Arabidopsis thaliana: one gene and its partners. The main gene of each other region encodes a partner of the protein of the gene in region 4 in a complex. Each region holds a gene or a part of one and is shown on either strand. Other genes may lie near its edges.

Region 1 (6,629 bases), on a different chromosome or scaffold from region 4:
TATTATATATGAATTATGATATGAGAGAAAGTATATTTTTAAGACATCATATGGGAGAATTTTGTTTTTTGTTCTTTCTTTTTGTGGACAACTGGGAGAATATAGATATATATTATAGTTAGCTTGTCTGCTCAAATATATAATTAACTAAATAATCCACCGATATGCACGTCTAATGAAAGATGATAATATATATAAATATATATAAACATGTTTGTATGTGTGCATTTTTGTCCACATGGTCTAACAAAAGTCAAAGGAATGACCATCTAATTGTCATTGATATGTTAGGTTTAATCATATTTTACGGAAAATACCTCTTTGGTTCTTAATACTCTTCTTTTCGGTCCTTCCTCTCTAAAACCAAACTTAAAGAGACAATACTCAATGTTTTATATGAAAAACTAAAAAAGAAAATCAAACTTAGATGCACCTACATGGATCTTCATTTATAATTAGTTCATAAATGCACATGTGCCACATGTGCCGTTCGAACTGCACGATTCGGTATTCGGTTCGGTTTTGATTCGATTATAGTCTAGTTCTGATTATTTCGGTGTTCTCGAGTTAAAGAACCATATAAAAATCAAAACAATTTTGGTTTAGTTCGGATTTGGTTTCGGTTCTTTCAATTCAGAAATTTAGTATTTATTCAGATATTTTTGAATATTTTAGATATTTTTATATATTTGCGGATATTTTCAAATATTTTTTGGATTTTTTGGTATTCAAAAAAACATACAGTATAAAAATATTTTGAAACTTGAACTTAAATTGTTTTAGCTAGAGTATGCCCAAAAAAAAAAAAAAGGCAAGAACATAAAAGGATATAAGAGGTAGCATATTTATCTCGACGCTATATGTTCTACTTCCAGATTTAATAATTTTCAAAACCATGACAATTAGGATTTGGTGAGTGAGAACGAAAACCAATTACTGACTAATTGAACAAGTTTTCTCACCCAATAAAACAAATACAAAAGATATAGTGAATATATAGCTTATTAGGTTTAGGATTATTTTTTTTGGGTTAAAAATTAGGGTTACGAATTGGGTTGAATTTTTTAAAAACGTAACGTTTGTGATCAGTGGTCGCTCAAATATATATATATATATATATATATATATATATATATATATTTATATTTATATTTTATTTTTTTGTCACTCAAAATTGCTTCCACGTAAATCTGTAAAAAAAGAAGAAGAAGGGAATTCGCTCTCCCATGCACTAATACTTGGTAAGTTATTGAATTCACATCAGACTCCATATAATCCATTTTATCTCCGAAAACATCTGAGTACATAAACAATAATTTAAACGTTTATCACAAAAACACTTATCTATTTCTTTCTAAAGACATCATTTTTTTTATTGGTAATTTTGAATTTTAGAGAAAACAATTTGTAATTAGCTGACAATTTTTTTATATTGTTATATATCTTAATATTTTTGAAATATCAAAAGAGGATCATCAGATTTATTGAAAATAGGTTTTCAAGAGTTCATCTGGAACTACCGGATGCTATAAATAATAAATAAAAATTGTTGTATTTGGAAATTTTTTCATGTGAAAGCAACTACTATTTCTGGGATTCCCTTTTGTTACTACTACTACTCAATTACTCATTTAATTTGATCAAAAAGACTGTAAAAGTAAAAACTTAATTGCTTTTGTCTTTTATAAGGAAACGTTGATCAAGCTGATGCTTTGGCAAAAGCTGCTCTTGTTTCTTCTTGTACTAACGTTGATAAAAAAAAAAAAAAAAAAAAAAAAGATCTAAACTTTTATTTAACGCTATTTGACATTTGAATTCAACCTGGTTTATTACAATCCTATAAAATTTTAAAAATCTAAAGAGTAAAATTGTTTAAATCAATGACTAACTATGTGAACATTTACTCTTGTATGACGAGTGCATTTACATTGAAAGTTTAGAAATGAATTTAGTTTCAATGGGCTGAGTTCGATATTGGGCCTTCGAGTTATGAACATTCAGTGAATCAGGAATGGTTGTATTCAACTTGTGATTTGTAATTTTTTTCTCAAATCCTTTGTTATTGAAATTGGAATTTATATAAAATCACTCAAAAGAATCTATAATCTTCTGTTATTCATTCAAGAATTTATAAAACACATCTTAAATCCACTGTTATCTAAACTCAACAAAACAATTTCATTAAAAACATTTAACATTGATTCTGGGAGACTTAGGCAAAAAAATTTAGTTGAAAATAAGCATGAAAAAATCTCACCTGTAGGTGTTATTCTGAACGATTTGATTTAAAAAAAGATTCACAGAAAATCTCTGCGACATATTCTCATTGTCCTCCTCCCCTCGTCTTCCATGAAAAAAGCTTTCGGTCTCTGTTCTTCACCGGCAAAATCGAGAATGGATTTGGTCTGTAGAAGAATGCAAATTCCACCAAATCTTCTAAAAGATTCTGGTTTCAATACACCCCCCTAAAATTACTTAATCACAACTTGGTCTTCGTATTTATGATTCAGCTGATCCGGGAATTATGTTACACATGAGCTCTAGGAATGACTTGTGTTATCATTTATCAAGCAACTGTTTGGTAATGAAAATACAAGTCTAAAACTGATAAATGTGAGACATGGTTCCTCAAGGAGAATATGCACATTGGAAACATCAAGGCATCAAGTAATAATACATAAGAGGGAATGATGGATCAAACGGTGTTGATGGTATCAGTAAGACATCGGAGAATGCAACCGAGACCAGCTCTCTCAGTGAGTTTCTCGTGAATCTTCAGGCACTGATCGCAGGTGGGTCGGTCCCCAGTAGAAAGTCCTCTGTACAAGTACCTGAGAATTTTAAGCAAAAACATTCTATCAAAGAGCACAGACAGCCTGAGGATAGAGCTTTCCAATTCATACATATTACAAAACGCATTACAGCAAAAAAAAAAAAAACCAACTTTGCACTTACTTCATGAGAATGTCGTAATATTCGACATCAAGAGCATTGAGCATTCCGTCAATATCCTTAATGGCCATTAAAGCTCTGTGCACAACTATCCAATTAGCCGACTGCAGTTGAGTTTTTTTTGGCTCAGTAAATCAAAAAAAAAAAAAAAGATGGTTTCGGAAAGAGAGAGACCTTGCAACGTTCATCGCGAGTTTTCGGAGGCGAACCTTCAAGAGCCGTTTTCAAAGCTTCTACATGTTTGTACCTGCACACATTAAAACACCGATAAGGGATTAAACCAAAAACAAAAGAAGACTTTAGGGTTTAGCTCCAAGGTCTGATATTACTGTTTGAGTAGGCTTTCAATCTTCCTCGATTTGGTTTCGATCCTCGCGATTATTGCTTCTGCGTTATCAGCTTCAACGAATTCTGCCATTCTTCGATTCGATCTTTCTCTCCGATCAGAGATTTCCCCTCTTTCCCTTCTTTAATTGAAAAAATGAGAGAGAGAGAGGAAAACAACTCAATCGCCATTTGACCATTTCAAAAGGGAACTGAGTGCCGTTTGTCTTGGCCTTAAACGGCACGTAGTCTTAAATGCTTATGCTGCCACTGAATGATGGATGATGGAAGCTTCATTTTTTTTTTCATTTTTTGTCAATAGGATTTTCATCGATAGGATTCAAGTTGAAATACAAGAGCCGGCAAGTACAAACCACTTCCGGAGACATAAGCCGATGAGTACAAGAACACTCCCGAAGCCAAATACCAAACAAGGTAAACAAAGGGAACAAAATCCAAACAAACCAATTACACTATATTCATTGAAATTTCCTCGATCAGGTTCTAGAAATCCAAAAAAGACTTACAAATCCTAAGTCATAGAAAATTAAAACAAATCTGAGACTAAAAAAGACACACAAACGGGTTACAATACAAGAATCTCCTTTTCTTTCTTGGTATAACAATTTTTTTTTTATTATAAATCTCTCTTATAAATTTTTAATAGTAATATTTGTTGGACCGAATTTTTTATATTTATACTAATGAACTTTTCTTTACGATTTTGTTACCATTTTGGTATCATTTTTACGATTTTAATTTATTAACCTCCTTAATTAAAATCGCAACCTATTCTATTTTATTAACACAGGTCAAAATATATTTTTTTCTGCGCTCGACCCTAATATGTTAACAAAATGGTTGTTTCTGCCCAAATCTCATTATATTTGTATGGATAGACGAAGAGCATTTTGATAATACTCTTTTGGAATGTTTCTTTATCATTCTAATTAGGATCCTACATCGAAAGTATACTATAAATGGAGTAAACACACTCATGACTGCTAAGTGCTAACACTAGTATATATGGAACACAACCAATCCAATCATTACCCATTGGTTTTAAATTAGAATCTGATGAAACTTAACATTAACTTTCTCTAATCATTAATGATATTGGTAGTCTTATAACAAATATATTGCCAAGATTCGGTCTAAGACCACTTGATAGAACTATGTATAAAACTTCTTTTTTTTAACTGCCAAACCTATATAAAGTGGACGTGTAAACTAAAGCATGGTGATCACTTCACATCGCACCAATGTAGTGGATCTAAACGTCTCTTTGTGTAATCACGTGGTCGAATTAATGGTCAATCATTTAGCAATTAACCAAATTTGAAATAACATCCGAAAAAAGTCGGTTTAGTGGGAGGAGAAGTGAGAATGATGTTTCATGAATGCTCGTTAGGAACTCTTCGAAAGACGATAACCTCGGATGGATGTTTATGGTGTCGGCTTCTAGTGGTTAAACATAATTAGATCGTCTACTGAAAAGTTGGAGATGTGGTTGAGAAACTCGTACCCTACATATGGTTACTCGTCTGCTGGTTTAATCGTTGGGATTGATCGTGTACTAGTCTTTCTTAAAGGCCAAGAATTTTGTCGTCGTAGTTAATATATGTTGGCGTACGTTTTACTGTTTTTCTTGAGAAATAATTGGATCTTAAGCTTATTAAAAAAGTCGTCACGACTTGGTCCAACTCGTACATATCACAAGTTGCTCGGCGCTTTTCATGTTAGTTAGCCACCGACCTCGAACTTTGAAATTTTATATTTTTTAACTTCAAAAACAATTCTTTGATAGTTTTGTTTTCATTGCTAATATTTCTCTCAATTTTTTTTTATTGTTTTTATTTTTGTATAGAATAGTATTCAAAATGAAACTATAATTCAGTATGGAACACTTTCTGTTTTATTTAATATTTACTTCATAATGAATTATGTTTCAAATTTTCAAAGAATATATTTATATTTGAATTTGGTTAGTACCTTCCAAAGAAGCTTAATTCCCCACATTAAAATTCAACTTGGTCTTCATATTAACATTATTCAATTGAATTCAGACTGAAATGGTTCACTTTATCTGGTTTGAAATATATGTCATGCATTTTCCAAATCAAGAATGAATCTTCTTGAAAGAAAAAAAATGAGAAAAAAGAAGAAGGAGAGGAATGGGTCTCCTAACAATGAAAAAGAGAATAAACCCTTAAATAATTGCAACTATATAAAATAAAAAGTATAAACTCCACTAAAAAAAGTCAAAACGTAGACCAAAACAAAAACATGTAACTAAGTCGTCCACTACTACATCTCTATGACTCTATATAACAACAAAGCCAAAACCACATCTTCTCACACAAAACACAAAAAAGAACAAATATGGAGAAACAAATCTCTCTATTGCTCTGTCTACTCCTCTTCATCTTCTCAATATCATCCTCTCTCCATGAAACCGAAGCTCGAAAACACAATAAATATAAACCCGCACCGATCATGAGCCTAGTCCCAAGAACTCTCTACGACCAAATCTTCATCCACAAGGACAACAACGCATGCCCTGCAAAAGGTTTCTACCCCTATGAAGCTTTCGTGGAGGCTACAAGATCCTTCCCGAAGTTCGGGAGCGTAGGAAACTTTTGGACAAGGCGACGCGAAGTGGCTGCGTTTTTGGCGCAGATATCTCACGAGACAACAGGTGGTTGGGCCACGGCACCAGACGGACCATATGCGTGGGGATTGTGTTTTAAAGAGGAAGTGAGTCCACAGAGTAATTATTGTGATGCTTCTAATAAGGATTGGCCTTGTGTTTCTGGCAAGTCTTACAAAGGAAGAGGTCCCATTCAACTATCTTGGTAAGTCTACAAAATTAATTATTAACCAATAACCATTTATATCTATTTATTTGCTCGAACAACTAGGTCTACAATAGTTCAATGCCCCATGAAAACATTATATACTTCTACCATTTTGCGAATTACCAACGAAACTTCTTTTGAATGGTTGTATCATCTTTGCTACAAGTTTCATATCCATATATCAGTCTTACCTTTTGGTTAACGTTACTTTCTTTTTTGGGATATATAGGAATTACAATTACGGACAGGCGGGTCGAGCATTGGGTTTCGACGGTTTACAGAACCCAGAACTTGTAGCCAACAACTCCGTTTTAGCTTTCAAGACAGCTCTTTGGTTTTGGATGACCGAACAGACTCCTAAACCGTCCTGCCATAACGTTATGGTCAACCGATACAGACCGACGAAAGCAGATAGAGCAGCAAACCGGACTGTCGGTTATGGTTTAGTCACCAACATCATAAACGGCGGTTTAGAATGTGGGATTCCAGGAGATG
Region 2 (6,166 bases), on a different chromosome or scaffold from region 4:
AGTTGCTTAGCCAAGTAAACATCAAATATCATCTTCCATAAAAAAAAAAAATGGAATCTAACCATTTTAAAGAATATTCTTAATTAAAATCTGTCTGATAGAAAACACATGTGTGAGATTGAGTCATTACAAAGATGTCACTGTTTAACCAATTATAGTTTATAGAAAATTATGTATGTATGAACGAATTTTCAGGTTCTGGAATAATAACAATATCTACACACCCATTAGAATGGACTTGTCATTTTCTAACAAATTATTGGACTTGTTATGCTCATGAATAGGCACGTGACATTTTTATGTGGAAGAGGAGGAGTTTGTACGCTTGGTGCAATTGTAGCCAATTACAGAGGGGACCAATCAAAGCGTGACTTCTTCCTCGGTCTTTTTCTTGAGGTTCCAATCTTTTTGACTTCATACACCATTTCTTTTGCTTACAACACTTTCAGATAAAAGCTATAGATTCAGTATTTTGATCCAACGTGTCATATATTAACCCTTAAGCAAGATTAGTGAAGTGACGAGCCTTTAAGATTTGTTATTCTTACAAGCAGCTTGCAGAAGAGAGAGAGTTACCAGCAGGACCAGAGGAAGGAGGATTTGGGATGTCATATGACCTTCTCTATGGAAGAGCGGGTTTCCTTTGGGCTGCTCTGTTCCTAAACCGATATCTCGGCCAAGGAACTGTTCCTGACCATCTCTTATCACCCATTGTTGCAGCCATCTTAGCCGGTGGGCGAGTTGGAGCTGCAGATCATGAAGCTTGTCCTCTGTTATACAGGTTTCACAAAATAGCTATAGTTTGTTAAAAGAGAATCCTGTTTATCTTTAGTAGGAATTGATCTTACTTTTGTGGCTTTTAGGTTTCACGGAACGCGATTTTGGGGTGCTGCGAATGGATTAGCTGGAATCTTGTATGTATTGCTGCATTTTCCACTATCGGAAGAGGATGTTAAAGATGTTCAAGGGACATTGAGGTATATGATGAGTAATAGGTTTCCGAACAGCGGAAACTACCCGTGCAGCGAAGGGAATCCGAGGGATAAGCTAGTCCAATGGGCTCATGGAGCAACCGGCATGGCCATTACTTTGGCTAAAGCATCTCAGGTGTTTCCCAAGGAAAGGGATTTCCGCGAAGCAGCCATTGAAGCAGGAGAAGTAGTGTGGAAGAGTGGCTTGGTGAAGAAGGTAGGTTTAGCTGATGGAGTTGCTGGTAATGCCTACGCTTTCTTATCCCTTTATCGCTTAACCGGAGATGTTGTATATGAAGAGAGAGCAAAAGCGTTTGCGAGTTACTTGTGCCGTGATGCGATAGAGCTCGTGAATATGACAAGCCAAGAAACAGAACATGATTATTCGCTATTCCGGGGACTAGCTGGACCAGTATGCCTCTGGTTCGATCTTGTGTCGCCGGTAGATTCTAAGTTTCCTGGTTATGAGATATAATTTAAAACCAGGTAACCGTAGGTTCTTTTATGACTATCTCTTTGTGAAAGGATCTTAGGTTCTCCGGTTTATTCCACTTTCTATAATCTATTGAAGTAACTTGAGATTTGGGAGAAACATTCATAGAAAACAAGAATAAAAGTAACATGAAAAGATCAGCTTAATGGTTTAAACGGTATTGGTAGTATCACTCAGACAACGGAGAATGCAACCGAGACCAGCTCTCTCTGTTAGTTTCTCGTGAATCATCAAACACTGTTCGCATGTGGGTTCGTCACCAGTCGAAAGACCTCTGTACAAGTACCTGATCCACACCATTTAAGCAAACAAAACACTGCTTCCACATCACGCTAATTAAAAGCTAGCAGAGCAAAAGGCAAGAGACTTACTTCATGAGAATGTCGTAATACTCGGCAGTAAGAGAATTTAACATTCCTTCGATATCCTTTATCGCCATGATAGCTCTGTGCACAACTATCCAATTAGCTGACTGCAATTTCACAGATATTTATCATAAATTACACAATCTTTTTGATCATGAACAAACTACTTATGTGCATGGTAGAGGAAACAGTAGGACCTTGCAACGTTCGTCGAGAGTTTTAGGTGGCGAACCATCAAGAGCCGTTTTAAGAGCTTCGACATGTTTGTAGCTGAATAAAACGAAGTAACAATTATAGCCTAGGTCATCTGAGAAAGTTGGAAGAAAAAAGGAACTTTAGGGTTATTACTGTTTGAGTAAGCTTTCAATCTTCTGCGATTTGGTTTCGATCCTTGCCATTATTTCCTCTGCATTATCAGCTTCAACAAATGCTGCTGCACCAGCCATTGGATCTCTCTCTTTCTCTACACTCTCCAGCAAAATTATCTAAAACCTAATCAATTAATTTCATTTCTTCATTCAAATCGACAACTTGCTGCATAAGAAACATATGATTTGAGTTTACTAACCAAAGGAGGCAATGCAAAACTTGTCATCCCCATAAAAAGCTAAAAAGAGAAGTAACAATCACGACAAAATCAATTCTAATCACGTAAAACAATCCATTGCCGATGGTACGCAGATTTCTCACATCATATCAGATCAGTAATCCTGAACTTTCTGATCAAATCATACAAGATTGAAGAATCAAGCAGGATTCGAAGATTACCTGAAATTAGAGAGAATAAAGCAATCGAGTGGTAAAACGGCCGAGTGAGAATTTATCAGAACTGTGATACCAATTATTAAAATCGGATGCTTCAGTTTTTAATTTTTACTTTTTCACATTGACGTAACAAGAGAAATAGAAAAGTTGTTATTGCTGGTATATATTTGTAATTAACAAAAATGTAACAATAATCTTACAAATGTAGAGAGAATAAAAACATGTTGATCAAATTAATATCCAATTTTTAAGATCAAATTAAGATCGGTTTGTTATACTTGGATTCAACACCCCAAAACCCCACAAAAACTGCTCATTAAGCAACAAATGAATCACACAGCTCTAGATAGGAGAAATATCCCAATCAGAGTCTTTAAAACATCTATATATTGTTGTTATCAAGTAACATTCAAGAATTGAATTGGTTTATCTAAGAGTTACAACACATGTTACTCTTGTTTGGTATCACTTGACCAGGACCTGGAACAATATCAATCTTCTTACCAGCAAGCGACCCGGGATTACCATTCTCTTGATCTTCACTCGCAGCCAGACTTTTCTTGTTCACAATGTTGAAGATCTCAGTCAAAACCGTGGAGAAAGCGCTCTCAACATTGGTTGCGTTAAATGCAGATGTCTCCAAGAAGAACAAACCTTCTTTCTCCGCAAATTCTTTCGCATCTTCTGTCGGTATAGCTCGTTGATCCACAAGATCTGACTTGTTCCCAATAAGGATTATCACAATGTTCTTATCTGCATGAGCACGTAGTTCTTCTAACCATCTTGGGATATGGTCAAAGGTTTGGCGTCTGGTTATGTCATACACCAACATCGCCCCAACCGCTCCTCGGTAATATGCACTTGTTACTGCTCTGTATCTGTTTCAACCAATACCACACATATAGAAAGATATACAATGTAAGCATATGATAAGCATGAAATGTGGTGGTTAGCTTACTCATTAAAGATCAGTGAATGTATAAAGTTGATGAAGCATCACTGGGAAATGTATAACAAAAGTGTCCAAATTTGTACCAATCATAAAATTATAGAAGCTTAATAACATTGGAATAGTAATATACATAATTCTAGTCTATACATAATTTTGAAATCCCAATCCCAAATTCTCAATGATTCTACCATTTTACTTCAGATCCTCCCAATTTCGTATACAGATCAGTAAGCTTTACTAGAATTCGAAATCCTAAGCAGACCTATCATCTTCCAGATCTAGAGAAACAGTAAAATCTTACGAGATCTAAGTTCAAGCAATTGAAGTAGCTAAAAGTTCCGGGAGAGGTCGGAGATTACCGTTCTTGGCCGGCGGTATCCCAGATCTGAGCCTTAACACTCTTGTGATCGATAACAAGCGTCCGAGTCTGAAACTCAACGCCGATGGTGGCCTTAGAATCCAAACTGAATTCGTCTCTAGCATAACGAGCCAGTATCTGTGATTTCCCAACCGCGGAATCGCCGATCAACACCACTTTGAACACATAATCAATCTTCTGCGACGGATCTCCGTATCCTCCTCCACTAGTCATCTTCTTCAACGTCTCTCTCTCGCTAAATCCTCTCTTGCTAAATCCTCTGTTTTAAGCTTTTACCGAAAAGTGAGCTTTTTTGAAGTTTTAAACGCAGAGAGAGATCTGATACGGTCGTATTGTCGTCGTTGTCAACTATTAGTCAATATTTTTAATTAATGATGACGTGTCTAAATATTAACCGTTGGATTCTGCCGGCTCGGTGAGATTTGACGGATTCGACAATTATCTTTCTGTCAGGCGCATGTTTTTGGGTGATGATGTCATCAAATAGGGTAATTTCGAATGTTAAAAAGTCTTTTAAAATTGGGCCTTATTAGGCCCATTAAGTTATAATAAAGGGCCGTTATTTGGTTGATTACGTGTCGCTATCCGAATTGACAAAAAGTGACCTAAGCGTTTTCAGAAGAAAACAAAGCAAACGTCGCGACGGAGAGAGAGCGAGAGAGACGATGGAGGAAGAGGAGCACGAGGTTTACGGTGGTGAAATTCCAGACGTCGGAGAGATGGATGGAGATATGGAGGCTCTCAACCCCGATTTGGATATGGCTGCTGCTGATGATGATGCGGTTAAGGTCTACTATTATCTCTTTCTCTCTTACTGTTTTGCTCATCTTTATGTGACTGAGCTCGATTGATTTGTTATCGCGTGTATATGTGTTTGATTGTTGTGTTATTGCTGTTGTAATTCTAGGAGTTGGATGAAATGAAGAAACGATTGAAAGAGATGGAGGACGAAGCTGCTGCTCTGCGTGAGATGCAGGCTAAGGTCGAGAAGGAAATGGGAGCTCAAGGTTTTCGTCTCTTTGATTTGGTTTTGCTATAACTCGCTTCTTTGATATGATTATCATCGTGCTTCCCGCAATTCGCTAGGTTTTTGATAATTGGTAGCTACTTGGTGGTGTTTGAATCCATCTTAGAATTCCACTGTGAATTATGTTATGTATATGGAGTTTTTTTTTGCTTCTTGACTAAAGTTTTTGGTTCAATTTTGTTATTCCAGATCCTGCTAGTATTGCAGCGAATCAAGCAGGCAAGGAGGAGGTTGATGCTCGATCAGTTTTTGTTGGCAATGTAAGAATATTTATGTTTCTGCGTCGTTTTCTTTCTTTAAGCCATCTTAGCTAGCTTCTGCTTTATTTTCATAGTTTTTAACTCGTATTGATCTTAATGTTCATTGGATTAGACTATGAATTGTGCCTTTTTTAGCTCTCTTGATACAAAACCTTTTATCTAGGGTGTTAGAATTATTATCGTAGAAATCTATTATCTGATTATGTTCTCTTCCTGATCCATGATTGCATTCTCTACATTTAGTGCTTGAATATATCACTAGTTTACTCTGACTTTTGGTGTAATGTCACATCTTTGTTGCTATGGATTCTTGTCTATTCAGTGAGAACTCTTATTAGATGAAATTGTTGAATGGTAAAAAGTTGGTGCTTAGCGTGAAGACTTTATCTTCAAATGAAAACTAGTGAGGGGTTTCTGTTGTTAGTGATATTGAGGGTTTTGGAAAGTAGATTGAGTCTTCATATTACTGGTGGAACCTTAGCCTTCAGATATAATTGAAAATTTCATATGTTTAGTAACTTTTCTGTGCAAATTTGAGGATGCTATAGTTTTTGTTTTCTGGCGTTGAGTTTTACTTTTCTTATGATTTTTCTCACTACAATCGCAGGATTTTGTTCCTGAAGTTCTTAATTGCTCTGGGTTATATCAATTAGGTTTTGTGGGGTCTTTACATTTTCCTTTTATGGAGTTGAAAAAGATCTGTTCTGTTTTGTTGTGGAACATGATGAAAAAAGCTAAAAAAAAGAGGCAAAAAAGCATTGAATAAAGCTATGAAAAAAGAATAAAGAAAAGGAAATGAATACGCTTTAGAGCAATATAGAGAAGGAAAAATGTTATGATTATGAGGGAAAAAGAGATATCTGGAGAGGGGACAATGTTTGAGTGGAGTATTTCTCAATCCATCCTCGAGGAGATAGCGTTTGAAGTGCTGCATCAAGATGCTGGATGCTTTGT
Region 3 (7,064 bases), on a different chromosome or scaffold from region 4:
TTTGGCTCTCGACATCGGAGGTAATTTAAAAATCCAAACTTGGCTTTGTTTCATTCAGTTTTAGAATTTTTCGGTTCTGGGTTTGTCTCGAATTAACCGGAATTGGGGTTTTTTTTTTTCTGGTTTCGTAGGGACTCTGATCAAGCTTGTGTATTTCTCTGCAAATGGAGATTATAGCGAAGAGTCTCGTAATGGTTGCTCTGTTGTGAAAGGAAGGCTTTGTTTCGCTAAGTTTGAGACTAGAAAGATTGATGATTGTTTGGAGTTTATTCGATTCAATATCCTTCATCATTCCGGTAAAGTTTTGATTTTTATGATCCTAACCTCTGATTCATAATCGGATTCATATGTACTCAGAAGTATTATGTCTATTTGCAGTAGTAATGTATGAGTCATTAGCTTACTGATTTCGAGAAAAGTTGAGTTCTTTTGATATTTCACTGACAGAGGTAACTATTCAGGTGTACAGCAACCGAATGGCGAAGGTCATGATAAACTTTATGTTAAGGTAAAAGCTAGCATCGGTTATAGTTTGGATAAAGCTTTGTAATGAAGAATGTTGAAGTGGGATTTTTGTTTGTAAGTTGATTATGGTATGGTATATTATTCCAAAGGCCACAGGTGGTGGGGCATTTAAGTTTGCTGATCTCTTTAAGGAGAAACTTGGTATTCTTTTCGATAAGGAAGATGAGATGTGTTCTCTTGTTGGTGGTGTTAATTTTCTACTAAAGGTTTGATTTTTTTTTCTATCCTATCATCATCTTCTATTCATTTTTCCTCAAACATAACCCACATGAGGATATATATGTACTCTGAATAGTCTAGGCTACACGTTGCTATCACTCATCTTTGTCAACACTTTTTGCTAATTCTTTATGAGTGAAGTTGTATTATGTTTCCCTGATAGTGATCTTGGCCTGAGTGTTGTTGCAGACTAACGTCTATAAGACTGAAAATATAGCTACATTAACATTTAGGACATTATAAATTTGAAGATGGTGATCATTTGCAATTTTGATTAAATGAGCTGTGCTCCCTGAGGTTTTTTAACCGATAGTTTCTTCATTGCATTAAAAGCATCTGTGGCAGAATAGTTTTTGATAAACTTCTTATTTCTGCCATTTTAAATTAACAATAGATTATTGCATGATTGCAGACTGTCCCAAGGGAAGCTTTTACCTACTTAGATGGCCAAAAGAAGTTTGTCGAGATCGACCATAATGATTTGTATCCATATCTACTAGTCAACATCGGTTCTGGCGTTAGCATGATCAAGGTTCATTCTGGTTTTGGTTTCTCTGATCTCTCTGTTTTTGTTTGCTACTACACCAGCGATGTTGCTTACTCAAACTCGTTCTTATATAGGTCGATGGAGATGGAAAATATGAGAGGATAAGTGGAACAAGCCTTGGCGGAGGCACATTTTTAGGTCTTGGGAAGCTTTTAACAAAATGCAAGAGGTGACTTCTTAGTTAAGTCTATTAATGTAAGTTTCCTCCTTGCCTGAGTAACAACTAATATTTCTTAATTTCAGTTTTGATGAGCTGCTAGAGTTAAGCCACCATGGAAATAACAGAGTAATTGACATGCTTGTGGGGGATATCTACGGTGGAACAGATTATTCAAAGGTAATTGATTGATCCTGGTTTTGCTTAAACATGTCTGAAGACTTTTAGATTAGATTCATATGTTAATATAACCTTTTGTTCATTCTTTTTTGATAGATTGGTCTCTCCTCAACAGCTATCGCTTCCAGCTTTGGGAAAGCGATTTCTGATGGTAAAGAACTTGAAGATTACCAGCCAGAAGATGTGGCAAGGTCCCTTCTAAGAATGATATCAAATAACATCGGTCAGGTCAGTTCCTCTGAACATTTTAATGCCATTTTAAAACATAATTTGAAGCTGATGATATTCTGATCGAATTGTAACGTTTTCTACTCTCCCTCCAGATTGCTTATTTGAATGCTCTCAGATTCGGTCTTAAGCGTATTTTCTTTGGTGGATTTTTCATCCGTGGGCTTGAGTACACCATGGACACAATCTCCGTTGCTGTTCACTTTTGGTAAATCCAAAACCGAAACTACTTAATCAAATCCCTCCATATCTTAAACTCATGTATGTCCACAAAATCTTTATCGAACTTTCTCATTTTTCCTTCTCATTTCAGGTCGAGAGGTGAGGCAAAGGCAATGTTTTTACGACATGAAGGGTTTCTTGGAGCATTAGGCGCTTTCACGAGCTACAATGACCAGAGCCATAACGATTTAAAACCGCATCATCACACTGTGCAAAGAGCAATTCTCAACTGTTCAGGTCATAACTTTCGGCACATCCCAGTAACTTCAAATTTAAACGAAAGCGAGACCATAGAATGTAGCATCAATTTAGTTTAGTTATCACCAGTTGTATTATTATCAATTCAGTGTAGAAATATGTTTAATCAACTGTTTGAGTCAAGAGCTGCTCATTACTAGTTTGTTGAATGTTAGACACATTTATGTAAGATGATTCACGTATTAATATTCATGTATGACCAATGTAACTTGTACTATATATCACACAAAGAATCAAACACACTTATTAAATCTCACTAGAGCTTCTTTAAATCTCGGTTTAGTCCGGTGCATTGCAAGTATTTGTGCATTTCTGTTTAGCCTTTGTTTACTAAGTTTTGTATATTGCTTATGTAACAAGTTTTTATCCATTCAGCAGAAATAACAGAAACTTGACACTTATATGGACATTTTGTTGTTGTTGTTGATTGAAGATCAATGTTTAATCCGGTCAAACCACTTTGATGTAACCCGAAACTGAACCGAAGAATGAACCACATCATTATTTGGTTTTTGATGTACCTAATTCCAGTGGTCGATAAGAAACCAAATTTCAAATAAAAAAACCGAGAAACTCAAAAATCAAAGCTAAGCCGGATTTAACATTGGTTACTCCCGGTACGAAGCAATGTACCACATTCATGGAGTCTTACACGTGTCATCCATACCTCTCTGTCTTCTTCTTCTTCTGTTCTTCATTCCTTTTTCCTACTTCGTCGATTTTCCATTTCAATTTCTTCTTCAGCCGGCGATTAAGCTTCCCAATAAGACAATCTCCGACCGCCGCAACATCACGAAGGATTCTTCACCGTGTGAACTTTACGCAGTCTTTCCTCTTTCGTAGACGCTAAAGAAGTTGAAATTGATCTGATCTCGTTTAGGTAAAAACTTTTTCTTTCTTCATCTATAGAATCAATCGTTCACCTAAATTCTGATTCTTATATATCCAAGATCTTAATTGCAGCAGATCTACCTTCGATTCGATTCTTCTCCTTCCTGATATCGCTTCATTGTTCAAATTCGGCACAAAATGGTACGGATCACCATTTTCTTATCTTTCAATTAGCATTAATCGCATTTCATTTTGTAACTAATGAAATTAGATTAGATCTTCGATGAGATTTTTTTTATTTATTGAGCTTGTTTCACTTTGATTTGGTTCCATGGAGTATTTAACTCTGCGATGCTCATTTTGTTTCCTTAATCCTTGTGATTAAATGCTCTGATCAGGTTTATCACTCGAGTTTTGTGGATGAAGAAGGAGTAACAAAGGCATGTGGTTGTCCATTGCTTCCTCTCAAGAGTCATATAAAAGGTCCTGCACCTGTTTCAGAACAAGGTAATTAATCAAAACATGTGATTTTTTTCAATTGTGCGATCGAAAGCTTTTGTAAATTGTTGGTTTTATATGCAGATAAAACTGATATAGTAGACGAGGCAATCACCTTCTTTCGTGCTAATGTCTTCTTCACAAACTTTGATATCAAAAGTCCTGCTGATAAGCTCCTTATTTACTTGACGTTTTATATAAATGTGGCGTTAAAGAGGCTTGAAGGCTGTAGAACATTGGCTGTTGGAACTAAAGCGATTATCAACTTGGGTTTAGAAGATATTCCTGTTCCTGGAGAAACTGGCTTTCCTTTCCCAGGTCTCTTTTCGCTTCCGCAGTCCCAGGACGAAGCAGGTATATATACATGTCTAAACAACTCTTATTGATTTTTCTTTCAGTTACTTGGTCCTTAGCCTTGTGTTCTGTTTGGCTTCAAATGTCAGAGCTTTTCAGGAACTATCTTAAGCAGGTTCGAGAGGAGACAAGTGGGAGGTTACTGAGTGTAGCATATAGAGCCAACGGGACACCAAATAAATGGTGGCTTGCATTCGCCAAGAGGAAATTCATGAACGTGGTCGTCCTATGATAAAACAGAGAATCACTGGTAAGTATCACTTTAGTTTACTGGATCCAAAATCCCACGTGATCTTAGATCCATCTCAAACAGTTCTACATTTCAAGCTTAAAATGTTTTTCTTTTGATCTGATTTTTTCATAATTTAGCAGCTGGTTATTCTTCCTTGCTTGCTGCCCATTACGAATGAGGGAATCCAAAGCCACTGGAGATCATGAGAATCGCCACCTTTAGCTTCCTCTGCATAGGTGTTAGCCACTGGAACCAGGAAGACGAAAATTTCATCTGAGAGCAGAATGCTCTCTCTCTGTATCTCTTGATATATACATAGAGTGTGCCAATGTATTGTTTCATACAACTCCTGTTGGAATATAAAATTTGTTGATACAAGATCAAAGTTAAATAAGAAGATTCTTTTATTATTACTTTAGATTAACAGAGTTTATCTCCAAGGTCTTAATCAGATATCAGATTGTAACCACACATTCTCACTCTTAGCAATTATACAAAGAAAGGAAATAGCTTTGCATACACATAGTGACATAACTGTGCCTGAAGCTACCTATCAGGCCTTGGTGCATACGTTTCCTTCACAAACCCAACCATCTTTGGACTCGTCGCCACCAACTTTCACAGCCTCATCGCCGTTTTCTTTTGTGTCCTCGTTTAAAGCACACTTGGCGTGAAGATCAAAGTCGCATTCGTCGCAATGGTAAGACCATATTGTCCCTTCTTCCTCACACTTATCGCATGTGTAAACCTGAACACGAGTTAGTTCTAGCTCATGTTCTTCATGGAGAACATGTTTCACCTTCTTAGGCCAATCTTTTGCTATCTCATCGTACTTAGCTTCAATCTCCTTCAAACGTTCCTCAGTAAAAGGGTAAGCATCGGCTCCATGGGCTACGACAAGGTCCCTTGCTTCTTTTGTTACGGTTTGCCCAGTTGGTCCCAGAGCTGCTAGCATTGGGATCCCACCAACCTTAAAGGTTTTTGCCAAGGATGCTTTCCTAGGATCACCAAATGGAAGAGCCAGCCACGGCATTTGCGAATAGTACTCATCGAATGATTCCTGGTCACGGTCACTGGAGATGAAGATCAATTCAAACGCTTCATTCCGCTCCTTTATCTGCTTGTATACTTCAACAAGCTTTGGTGTAAAAGCGCGACAAGGAGGACACCAGTGAGCTGAGAAGTACATAAGAATAGTCTTCCCCACCAGATCCGAAACAAGCACCTAACAAAGAAAGCCAAATTTTTACAGGTTGGTTCAGATCAGCCTTGAAGAACAGTGTTTAGAAAATGAAGAGGGTATCGAGAGCTATACCTTTGCCCCATCTTTTCCGAGAACGTAGTTGAGATCACCTGAGACAAGAAGTGACTCGAGCGTTTGAGCCTCTACCTTTGCCTTTTCTAGCTCCTTGAGTTCTTGAAACTTCTCTGGAGTGAAAGGATACGCAAGAACTCCATAGTCATCAATAGCTTCAGCGACATTCGAGTGACGGGTTTTTCCATCAGGGCCGAGAATGACCAGTGTCGGTAGTGTTGACAGCATGAAATGCCGAGCCAATTTTGATCCACTTTTGTCGTTGAACGGCAATGCTAGCCATGGCTTGGTCTTGAAGTCTTGATTAAAAGACTCCTCATCATCTTCAAGAGATATCAACACAATCTCAAAATCCTCCTTATTCTCCTTCAGCTTCGTATAAAACTCAACAAGCTTTGGAGTAAGCTCTGTGCATTTCCTGTAAGAGGCCACAGAGAAGAGAAGGCCAATGGTTTTTCCCTCAAGCTCTGATACGGGTACCTAATGAATATGCAATTGATCGGTCTCATTAAGTCAACAAAAGAGAAACAGGTCCGTAATAACTAACTAATGCAAGAGTCTTGTATAGATATAATCTTCCTATTGACGAAAAAGAATCTGATCTCACAAGCTATTAATGTGCACCTTGTTTCCGTCAGGCGAAATCACAAAGTCTCGTGAAGGAGTCACCAAGACAGATCTTAAGGTCTGTCCTCTCCGAGCTCTATCTTCATCCTCTTTGATCTCCTTCATTTTCTCTGGTGTGAAAGGATAAGCATCAGCTCCATAGCTTCGTATGACCCCAACACCATTCTCATTCACAAGTTTACCATGATCATCAACCATCACTAGGTTAGGTATTCCCCTAACCTTAAACAACTCATCCAAACGGTCACGGGTTTCCGAATCAGTAAACGGAACAGCGAGCCAGGGCATCTTTCTGAAATAATCTCCAAATGACTCTTCATCCTCATCACCTGACACAAACACAATCTCAAAACCAACTTTCGAAGAGAGCTCGTTGTAGACTTCCACCAGCTGTGGAGTAAACCGCTGACACGGTCCACACCAAGCAGCTGAAAAATACAATCCAATCTTCTTCCCTAACAAGCTGTCAACTTTCACCTAAACATCATAAAAATGCATAAAAAATTAAACTCTACCCAAACAACATAAGCCATGTGAAATAGACACAAGCCAAATCAATAAAGGACCAAGCACTGAATGAATCTTAACACTTGAAAGCAATCGATTAAAGTCATCTATAGCAAATCAATCAACTACACGAAGCTATCTATATTCTGTAAACCAGAAGAGTCGGTTCAAAGAATCGCGAGACAATCACAGGATCGTTATCGAAGATCAGAAGAAGTTGCGATCGAAGACCATAAACTCAAAATCACGTCAAAAACTATTTTACCTGTTCGCCGTCATTACGAACGAGGAAATCCCTCGCCGGAGAAGAAAGAAGCGAGTGAAGATCCTGGGCATCGTCGCCGTTGACTTGCTTCGAGGTTTC
Region 4 (9,412 bases):
GAAGAGTTGGTCAAAGATACACAAGAGCCTGTACTCGCAGATAGGCTTGCAAAGCTGCTTATGTTGAGTGTTAATCAGCGTCTCAATGTCGTGAAGCTTAACGAGTTTAAGCGGAGCTTTGGATTCCCTGATGATTATGTTATCAGAATAGTTCCAAAGTACTCAGATGTGTTTCGGTTAGTGAATTATAGTGGTAGGAAGAGTTCAATGGAGATTGAGCTTTTGTTGTGGAAGCCTGAGTTGGCTGTCTCTGCAGTTGAAGCAGCAGCAAAGAAATGTGGCTCTGAGCCTAGTTTCTCTTGCTCTCTACCTTCCACGTGGACCAAACCGTGGGAGAGGTTCATGGAGTTTAATGCCTTTCCTTACATATCTCCGTATGAGGATCATGGGGATCTTGTTGAGGGTTCAAAGGAGAGTGAGAAGAGAAGTGTTGGTTTGGTGCACGAGTTACTCTCGTTGACGTTGTGGAAAAAGCTGTCAATCGTAAAGCTGAGTCATTTCAAGAGGGAATTTGGGTTACCGGAGAAGCTAAATGGTATGCTTCTGAAGCATCCAGGCATATTCTACGTTGGAAACAAGTATCAGGTTCACACTGTGATCCTCAGAGAAGGATACAATGGCTCGGAATTGATTCACAAGGACCCGCTCGTTGTTGTGAAGGATAAATTTGGGGAATTGATGCAGCAGGGCTTGTATGAGTATAATCACAGGCGATATTTGGCTAATCTAGAGAAGAAGAGAGAGAAAGGTATTGAATCTTTGAAGCCTGTGGTGCGAAAGAAAGACAGGAACCACGATCGAGATGATGTCGATGAAGAAGAAAACCATGGGGATCGACCAGGTGGTCTGTTTGATCCAGAAGAGAGAAAAAGGTTTTATCAGATTCTCTTCAGTGACACCCAATAAGAACATTCTGGTAAAGTTGGACGTTCTCTTCAGATTCTCTTCAGTGACACCCAATGGAGAAAAATTTACCTATATAGTCTGCAATCTCTAAGACGTTGTGCTTTTTCTGAAAGCTACGAAGATCACAATATGCTTGTAAACAAATGCAAAATACGAGTTGTTCCCCGCAGATGCTAGATCAAGATAGAATCTGTGAATTAAGGCAGCTGGAATACTTTCACTTAGTTCAGTTTGGGCGGGAATCAAGAGTTAAGAGTTCTCTGAAACAATGCTATATACTTCATGAACGTGGTCCAGAAATTGAGTGAAAACATTTGCACGTACTTGGAATTTTCCCGATATGTGTTCTTGGTTTCACATTTGGTCTGTGTATAAAGTCACCTTGCAGCTTCCTAAAGGACATACCAGTGGTCAAATTTTCTAACCCCTGAAGACCGTACGTACGTGCTTCAGTTGATGTAAGCCATGTTTTGATTACACAGATATTAAGCGGAGCTTTTGATTCCCCGATGATTATGTCAGATGATACTAGTGTCAGCTTCATTCTGGATTGTATATATCATCACAGATGAAAAGATTCATTTCAAGTTTGTTGATATATAGCATTCATTTCTGTGGTTGTTGTCCGGAGAACTCATTCGACACAAAGCTGAAAATGTTATTATGTTAATATACAAGATACCAACTCGTATAATGAATCAAATGATAGAGCATTCAAGATATTACAAAGATCCAGAGACAAGGGCATAGCTCAAAACTTAATAACACCTGCCCTTACACAAACCAGGAAAACATGGCCTTTATTATGCAGTTTACCAAGTGTGACAATTACGAAATTGGAAAAAGGTGAAAAGGCTAGTCGAAACAAAATCTGATATACAAATTAAGTAAGCTGACTACTGATCCAGATTTTATTAAAACTGATTGCCAAGTTCTTGTTGCATGTTCTCTAGATCCCATATGGCTATTTTGCCATCCAATCCTATAAATAATAAACCGAAAATGCGAGCTAATGAAACCTGTCATTTTGTATGAATTGAATCGGGTGATTCCATGAAGGGTTATATAAATTTAAATTTAGTGACTGACCTGAAGTGCTGAATCGCATAACTTTAGGACTCCCTCCTTTGCCCAGAGGCACAATGGAACTGCAGGTAAACTTCTACGTCAGCTCTTAACAGATAATCAAGTAAAAGAGCTAAAGAGACAGTTTTTTGGCAAATGATTTGGTACAAGCCAAGTTAGATAAAGAAACAATTACGTTATGCTGTTATCATGAACGCCTCCACGTGAATCAGAAGCATCGTTGGCTGTTGTAGACTTTGATTGACTACCGTAGAATTTTCCAAACGCTTCGGAAAACTGAAAAATAACATAATGAACAGATGTGTCAGACACAACACAACAAAATAATGCAAGTGGAAAGTCGTATCGTAAATCCAAGAAAAAAAGAAAGAGAGGAACTACACTAACCCCCAAAGATTACGATCTTTAGAGGAACAACTCAGGGATAAGTTAAAGTTCAGTCATATTTTTTTCACTAAAAGGCTAAAACCAGACATATTGCAATATAAGAAAGAAGATTTGGTATGTACCTGCGAACTGTAACTGGAACCTGAAGATGCCGCTTTCTTCTCTCCAATGTATCTTATGAAGCTCCTACAGACCAAATACAAAAACTTGTAAACGAAGCAATTATTGGTAGTGGTTCGTTTCAGAACCAACAATCCGGCCTGTGATCTAAGAGGAATAAAAGAACTGAAAATTTGATAGTATGCAAACCCCTAAGAAAGAGAATTTTAAGCAGATATTTCTGAGAGTTACACACCATATTCCAGTATCATCTGCAGCAAATACCATCGGGTTGCTGTCATATCCAACCCCTATCACCATTTTCTCAGAAATAAACAGGACCTGAAATAGCAATTTCCCCATAATATATCAATTCAGGACATAACACACCGGAGAAACCAGGTTCTCAAAAGTAAAATAAAGGTGGATGCTGACCCACATCACGAAGAGGCAAATCTCGGAATGCAACGCTTTGGGCTAAAGGAGAAGGGCCAACATCATCAACAAAGTAAATCATGGAGCTATGACCTATACATGATTACATAAACACGCAAAGTATGACAGATGGTAGTAAAAACTGCAACCAAGTTGAAGTTCCATTGTATTATTTCAGTAGAGCGCAATGGAAAAACATCCCAAGTCTGAAGGATTTTCTGACCTACATATGCTAAGGTGTTTCCACTTGGAGACCATTTAACACCAAATGCCCAAGAATATGAGAGATCAAGCTGAAGAATTTGCTGTTTCAACAAAGCCACAGTAGAAAAAAAAACTCCCTAACATTAGATGAGAGAGTAGACGGAACATATATATGGCACAAGAATTATAATATTTACTAAAAGAAGGAAAGCCAGCCAAACTAGTCGAACCTCCCCAAATTTCGTTTCCGCTGGTGAGCCTGCTTTTGAATCCCTGTATCAGCCCATTGAAAGAAAAATAAGAAATGGCCTCATGTTTGAAAAAATGTCTTAAAAGTAGACGTTCAAGTAATGAGCATACTTTGTGTCAACTCCTTTGATGAATGTTGAAAATACCCGACATTTTCCATCTGTTGATGTCGTTGCCAGAAGAACCTAATGCATAACAGACAATCAGAGAGCACAGCAACATAAAAAAGCATACGAGAAAAAATGATTTAGAAGATTAACTAGTTTGTGGAGATTGATATTCTATTTTTAGGGATCATGTACTCTATACTCAATCTGGTGGCCAACTTATAGAATATTTTTGGTAGAGAAAGCTTTTACAGAGAGCCTGCTTAATATTTTGGCTACATGAACTACAAGAGGTTCTGTTGATTGCACGTACATTATTAGGATGCCAAGCAACAGATGTGACTGAAGATTCGTGCCTTTTCCGGATTAGCTTACTGACCCACCTGCAAACAGTAAAGCCAAGCAATGTCAGATACTAAAAGTTTACATGAAAGTATCTTTCTAAAATCTCTAAACAATACACAGTTATGCATGCCAAGATAATAAAAAATATGATTGGTGCTAATATCATGCCAGTACATAAGACAAGATAATATCATTACATAGACCAACAACACCATTCGTAGCAAAGAAGTCAGGAAACTTGCCAAAGAAAAAATCAAGGACTAATAATGAGAATTAGGAGCAGAAGAAGAAAATACCAGTTATTCTCTTGCTCATAATAGCAAATACAAACAGTTTTAGCACCACTTCCAACAGCAAACTTGTTCTCTATGGGTATTGAGCAAAAAGATGAGAACATAGATTAGAAGCTGTAGAAATTATAGGAAAATTACATGATATATTACGGAAATTAAGCTTAAGAACCAGAAAAATTAAACATTTACCTTTGGGGCTCCATTGGACACAAAGTGCAGCACGATTTAGTCTAAGAATAACGAGAGTTGGTACCCATTCAGCTCCTTCCAGGCTCCAGACGTACCTTCAAGAAGCATTCTAAACTCAGTTCAACGAACGAAAAAAAGTGAAGGACTAAGATTAACAGGTTTGGAGTTTCTCAAAGTATATCAAAGGTAGCAACTTACGAGTTCCTGTCATGAGAAACAGTGACGATTTTGTTGGACTTTGAGCTCCAATCTATTCCAGAAACAATTTGGTCATGCTGCAACAAGACGAACAATAATCATGAAGTTGTTGTAAGGGAGATTCAAGCTGTCTATACAACACTTATCAGCGACAAGTGATCAGTGAAATGAGAATACATAAATATACGAAAGTAAGGAATTCCCAAGAAGAGAAAGCAAAAGGAGTGCAAGTTCAAAAGTTACAGAAAGAGAGGGAGAGAGAAAGGTTTCACCTTTTGGAGGACATGTAACCTCTCCCAGTGGTCTTGAGACAATGATTTATAGATATGAACTTCAGTGTTGTTAGGACAGAGAGCAACCACTACCAAGAAAAACGAAACAAATGTCAAAGCACATAAATGGTTACAGGCTTTAGTACAGACGTTAAATCATTTGTAACAATAGATTTGGTTCATCTGTTTAGAAAAGCGCATCTACTAATGTACAATACTAGATACCAAGTGCTCCTAACAAGAGACACCGACAAACAGACATATAAAACATTGACTCGAAAATTCTCAATTATAGGGATTTAGAAGAAACTTGATTACCAAGATGTATAAGAATAACACAAGTCAATTCAGAAAAACTAACTAAAGATCCTCCTCATTTATAATTCTAAAAACAGAAAAACGACGGAAGAGAGAAAGAAGAGAATCACAAAATCAGAGAGGTGTTAGAAACATACTGGAGAGATCAGGACTCCAAGCATGGCAAGTGATTGACTCAGCGAAACGATGAACATCCACCACTGCCATGAGTGATCCTTGTTGTCCCAAATGTGTTGTAATGAAGACAGTCTTTTCTCTCAAATTGACATCTACAGATTTCTAAAACGGAGTCGTACGGTGAATAGATGGACAGATAATTATGATGAAACGCCGATGAGATCCGGAGCTTGACGACGACACAGTCGCAAACGTGAAGTGAAAGTGTAAGTGAAAGAGACGGATGTTTTTGTTTGTGTGTTTTATTTTACTCTTATAGCCCAATTTTTTATGACCAGATCATTTTCTATTTTCCTTGGCCCTGTCTTAGGGGCGGCCCAGCATAATAATAAGCAAAAAAAAAAATAAGATCTAAATTCTGCATTAGTTAAATACTTAAATATACATAATTGGATTTAATCAAATCCATCCATGTAAAAATCTGAACTAAACCTCACTATGAGTATGAGTAACTTATAAAGTCATTCTATATATTCAGTTTTCGAATCCCAAATAAGTTAACATTATAGTTTTCTCAAAATTAATTACACTGTATTAGTCTTTTTTCTAATATATATATTAACATTTCTTAGAAAATAAATATAAAATTAGACCGAATTTTTTTTTTTTTTTTTTTTTTGGTTGGAGCGACTAAATTTCTCCATCGGCGAAAGAAAAAAAAAACAAAACGAAAAAAAAAAAAAGTTTCTCGATTCAACAAGCGTCCCTTCCTCCTTGGGGATTCACAGGTTTGCTTCTTCGTCGATTTGATTCTTTGAATCTTTTTTTCCCCTAGGTTTAGGTTTCGCTATTGTTTCTACGATCGAAACTAGGTCTCTCTATTGTTTACTGCAACATTTGATTCTCAATTTCATATCACCGATTTGTGTTTATCCCCTGGAATTAGGAATGATTAGGGTTCAGATCTCGTAGGCAATGAATTTAGGGTTAGAGAAATAGCATCTGTTTGGTTTGTTTACCTAAAGAATGAACCCTAAAGGCTTTGTTCTGTTTTACGATTTTGTTTAAGGTCTTAGTTTTTATCTTTAGCTCTTGTCATTCTTAAGCATGTTGTTAGTTGTTACTATTAAGAACTTTTATTCTCTGTTCTTGTATTTTGGTACCTTATGAAATTAGTCTTTTATGCAGATTTTGAAAGCTAATCTTCAGCTATGAGCACAGCAACAAGGCCTTCCTCTTCAGCAACAACTTCTGTCATATTAGAAAACCCTGTTTCTCAATCACAACCTACTGAAAGATTAGTGCTTCGGTTGAACCGGAAGAAGAAGAAAGTTTCATGGAAAGATGGGACTGTAGACAATGAGTTTATGCAGAAGAAGAGTTCGAAGAAGTGTTGCATCTTTCATAAACAGAAGCCTTTTGATGAGGATGACAGTGAAGAAGAAGATGATAACAACCATCACTGTGATCATAACCATGAACACTCCGAATCTGGTGAGGCATCTTCTTCTAATGATTCTAAAGCCGTTGACTAATCAATCAGGTTTTTTCACGTTACTATATATTGAAGCTTTTTAATAGATCATGGAAGAACACACATTTGTTGTTTTGGTCTCTTCTCCTATCTAACCCTGGTTGGGCGTTATGTATATGTACAAGTAATTTGCAGATTCATTGCAATGTTAACTCCTTCATACTCTGTTGAAAATGATGTGAATCATTGAAGATTGCTAATTAGTTAAAGAATTACAAGGATGTTATATTTTCTTTCTACATTTGAATATGCTTTTGCTTTTGCTTTTGCGACTGCATACTATTTCTCAAAATGCAATGTTCGGGTTTCATCAATTAAAAGATGAGCACTATATTATTTTCCCAGTAGAATAGGATTTGCAAAGGGTAAGTATAATGTTTGGGTTTCATTGGCCGATGTTGGGATCAATGCAGCTTCTGGATCAGATGGGTTGTGATTAGGATCGATAAAAAAATATGACCGATATGGCAGAACGATGTAGCTACTGGTCGGATGGTTTGGTTGGCTAGATCGGTGGCTCTATGACCATGATGGTTGATCGATGCGGGTTATTTAGTTGGCTCCAGGGATATTGGATCTGCATTTGACTGATGGGCACGGCCAATGTGGCTTATGAGGGTTGTTTGAGGAGTCCTAGATCAGTCATTGGTGAGACCGATCCCATGGCCGTACTGGTTCTGTTATTTCTTTGTTCCCCGGTCCTTCTTTGACCAAAACTCCGTCTTTTCCGCAAACTCTAGGCACAAGTTAGGATATCTAAAGACACCCGAAATCCTTAACATAGATAAGAAAACAAAAATAAAGCTTCAAACTCAAATTTTTCTTACTATTTTTAATCTCCACTAAACCAACATTAAGTCATAAATCCACTATCAGTTGTTCATTATTATCGAATAATTTAACTTTTGTACTTGATCAATTATTTTGGAATATTTTTGATGTTAATCATGATTCATGATTAATATGTGGGCTGGATAATCATGGGTCTCTCTATTTTTCTAGTCTGTAAAGTTTGATCGAAACTGAGAGCATTTTAAAATATTTAAATCGAGATATAGAAATAACTTGTCTCATATACTACTAATATCAAATGCCTTTGTTCTTATTCTACACACATCTCAATCACTTATGTGGTGTATATGTTGAGCATTGTTAAATCTTAAACTATTGTTTTCCAAATTAAGCAATAATGACAACAATCTTAACATAATTTCACAAGTACATGTAAATTTTCAACTAAACAAACACTAAAAGTAAACTCTAATTTATTTTTCTAAATAAAATAAGAGAGTAAATTAGTTATGAATTAAAAAAAAGCTAAAACCACAACAAAAAGCAACTTGGGTTTGGTTCATGTTTACTCATTGTTTTGTCCTATACGTCAACCAAATCTCTCATTTGATCGGATCTTAATATTAATATGGTTCTCTCAATATTTTCTTAAGAATATTCTCCACCTTAAGAGTTTAATCTCAATAATATATTACAACGAGTTATTGAATATTAGAGAGATGTTTTACAATATAAACTTGAGGGAAAATATAAAAGCTGCAATCTTGTAATTGTAAGCCATTAGAGAGACAAATATGTAAAATAACAAGTTGAGTTATCATAAATCCCACCTTAGTCCTTTACCATAAACACTCGTGCACTATATAATCGTCACTAGAAGAGTATAAGTAATGAAGTATTAATATTCCTACAAGATAGTAATAGTTGGTTAATATCAATAGATTATAATTACGTTTTGAGAATGGGAGGTTTAGGCTCACCATGTGGAGGATGCAAGTTCTTGCGTAGGAAATGTGTAGAGGGTTGTGTATTTGCACCATACTTTTGCTACGAAGAAGGATCTTCTAATTTTGCAGCCATTCACAAAGTGTTTGGAGCTAGCAACTTCTCTAAGCTCATTTCTCATCTCCCTGATCATGACCGATGTGACGCCGTACGAACCATCTCTTACGAGGCTCACTCTCGTCTCCATGATCCTATTTACGGCTGCGTCTCCCAAATCTTCTCCCTCCAACAACAGGTATTATACTTTTTCTTCGGAAATGTATACATAATTTTTTTTTGCTTTTGCTTCATCATCTCTAGTGTACTTACAAGTAACTTCACTGACTTTGTTCTTAAGGTTGTTAGTTTACAAGCACAAGTGGTTCTACTTAGAGAAGAAGCTTCGAGAAGGTTCCCTCAAGATGATCCTGGTTGTAATATGAAGCAACAAGAAAAGGTTCTTGCTCAACAAATGCCACAAGATCTTCACAATTGGTTTCACCAAGGAATCTTGGACTCAGACTTCGACCCAATGAGTGGTACTACACGCGACAATGAGCGGTCCATGGATCATAATGAGTCTCCTTGTAGCTCAAATGAATCACTTAATTACTACCAGGAGGTCAATTTTCCTTGGTCTGTTTGAGTACAAGTGACTACTTTGTCAGAGATGGAACCTTACAATCTTTCTATTGTATCGACTTTTCGACATTTTTCATAGTAGAGATCGAATCATGCAACCATTTTCTCTTTGAGAATAACCACTTCTTCGATGATCTTTCATAGGTACAACATCAGATCTGAACAAGTGTCAAGTCTTAAGAAGTGTCATTACTGAGAAAAAGCATAACAAAATGTAGTGTACGCTGTTTTAAAACCAGAAACATCTACAACGCC

The links.
Region 1: ARPC1B (region 4) and CRK share a complex: the UniProt entries of both Arabidopsis thaliana proteins name them as parts of the arp2/3 complex.
Region 2: ARPC1B (region 4) and AT5G65274 share a complex: the UniProt entries of both Arabidopsis thaliana proteins name them as parts of the arp2/3 complex.
Region 3: ARPC1B (region 4) and ARPC3 share a complex: the UniProt entries of both Arabidopsis thaliana proteins name them as parts of the arp2/3 complex.

Annotation. Positions count from the first base shown.
Region 1 is NC_003075.7:732,517-739,145, reverse strand, and holds CRK (ARP2/3 complex 16 kDa subunit (p16-Arc)), read right to left. Parts: upstream 3,494-6,629; 5' UTR 3,371-3,493; coding exon 3,282-3,370; intron 3,200-3,281; coding exon 3,127-3,199; intron 3,057-3,126; coding exon 2,956-3,056; intron 2,832-2,955; coding exon 2,696-2,831; 3' UTR 2,181-2,695; downstream 1-2,180. Other genes in the region: AT4G01703 (uncharacterized protein), read left to right, coding at 4,781-4,894; AT4G01700 (Chitinase family protein), read left to right, coding at 5,659-6,131, 6,364-6,629. UniProt on the Arabidopsis thaliana protein: Functions as a component of the Arp2/3 complex which is involved in regulation of actin polymerization and together with an activating nucleation-promoting factor (NPF) mediates the formation of branched actin networks.
Region 2 is NC_003076.8:26,081,409-26,087,574, reverse strand, and holds AT5G65274 (ARP2/3 complex 16 kDa subunit (p16-Arc)), read right to left. Parts: upstream 2,276-6,166; coding exon 2,178-2,275; intron 2,100-2,177; coding exon 2,027-2,099; intron 1,983-2,026; exon of another isoform or gene 1,937-1,982; coding exon 1,836-1,936; exon of another isoform or gene 1,751-1,835; coding exon 1,615-1,750; downstream 1-1,614. Other genes in the region: GCL1 (GCR2-like 1), read left to right, coding at 285-396, 555-781, 864-1,446; RABA4a (RAB GTPase homolog A4A), read right to left, coding at 3,025-3,472, 3,906-4,138; AT5G65260 (RNA-binding (RRM/RBD/RNP motifs) family protein), read left to right, coding at 4,591-4,713, 4,833-4,932, 5,142-5,212. UniProt on the Arabidopsis thaliana protein: Functions as a component of the Arp2/3 complex which is involved in regulation of actin polymerization and together with an activating nucleation-promoting factor (NPF) mediates the formation of branched actin networks.
Region 3 is NC_003070.9:22,261,984-22,269,047, reverse strand, and holds ARPC3 (actin-related protein C3), read left to right. Parts: upstream 1-2,971; 5' UTR 2,972-3,216; intron 3,217-3,286; exon of another isoform or gene 3,287-3,299; 5' UTR 3,300-3,365; coding exon 3,366-3,368; intron 3,369-3,565; coding exon 3,566-3,674; intron 3,675-3,749; coding exon 3,750-4,019; coding exon of another isoform or gene 4,020-4,051; intron 4,052-4,108; coding exon 4,109-4,251; 3' UTR 4,252-4,269; intron 4,270-4,391; 3' UTR 4,392-4,663; downstream 4,664-7,064. Other genes in the region: PANK1 (pantothenate kinase 1), read left to right, coding at 1-20, 132-296, 462-508, 615-731, 1,157-1,276, 1,366-1,460, 1,535-1,628, 1,725-1,856 and 2 more; AT1G60420 (DC1 domain-containing protein), read right to left, coding at 4,805-5,476, 5,567-6,046, 6,191-6,670, 6,966-7,064. UniProt on the Arabidopsis thaliana protein: Functions as a component of the Arp2/3 complex which is involved in regulation of actin polymerization and together with an activating nucleation-promoting factor (NPF) mediates the formation of branched actin networks.
Region 4 is NC_003071.7:13,344,493-13,353,904, forward strand, and holds ARPC1B (actin-related protein C1B), read right to left. Parts: upstream 5,508-9,412; 5' UTR 5,296-5,507; coding exon 5,226-5,295; intron 4,860-5,225; coding exon 4,771-4,859; intron 4,576-4,770; coding exon 4,499-4,575; intron 4,396-4,498; coding exon 4,301-4,395; intron 4,185-4,300; coding exon 4,115-4,184; intron 3,857-4,114; coding exon 3,787-3,856; intron 3,552-3,786; coding exon 3,478-3,551; intron 3,391-3,477; coding exon 3,348-3,390; intron 3,219-3,347; coding exon 3,137-3,218; intron 3,007-3,136; coding exon 2,918-3,006; intron 2,821-2,917; coding exon 2,735-2,820; intron 2,566-2,734; coding exon 2,502-2,565; intron 2,269-2,501; coding exon 2,168-2,268; intron 2,055-2,167; coding exon 1,996-2,054; intron 1,889-1,995; coding exon of another isoform or gene 1,821-1,888; exon of another isoform or gene 1,556-1,820; coding exon 1,485-1,555; downstream 1-1,484. Other genes in the region: AT2G31290 (Ubiquitin carboxyl-terminal hydrolase family protein), read left to right, coding at 1-906; INH3 (inhibitor-3), read left to right, coding at 6,417-6,740; LBD14 (LOB domain-containing protein 14), read left to right, coding at 8,493-8,771, 8,874-9,161. UniProt on the Arabidopsis thaliana protein: Functions as a component of the Arp2/3 complex which is involved in regulation of actin polymerization and together with an activating nucleation-promoting factor (NPF) mediates the formation of branched actin networks.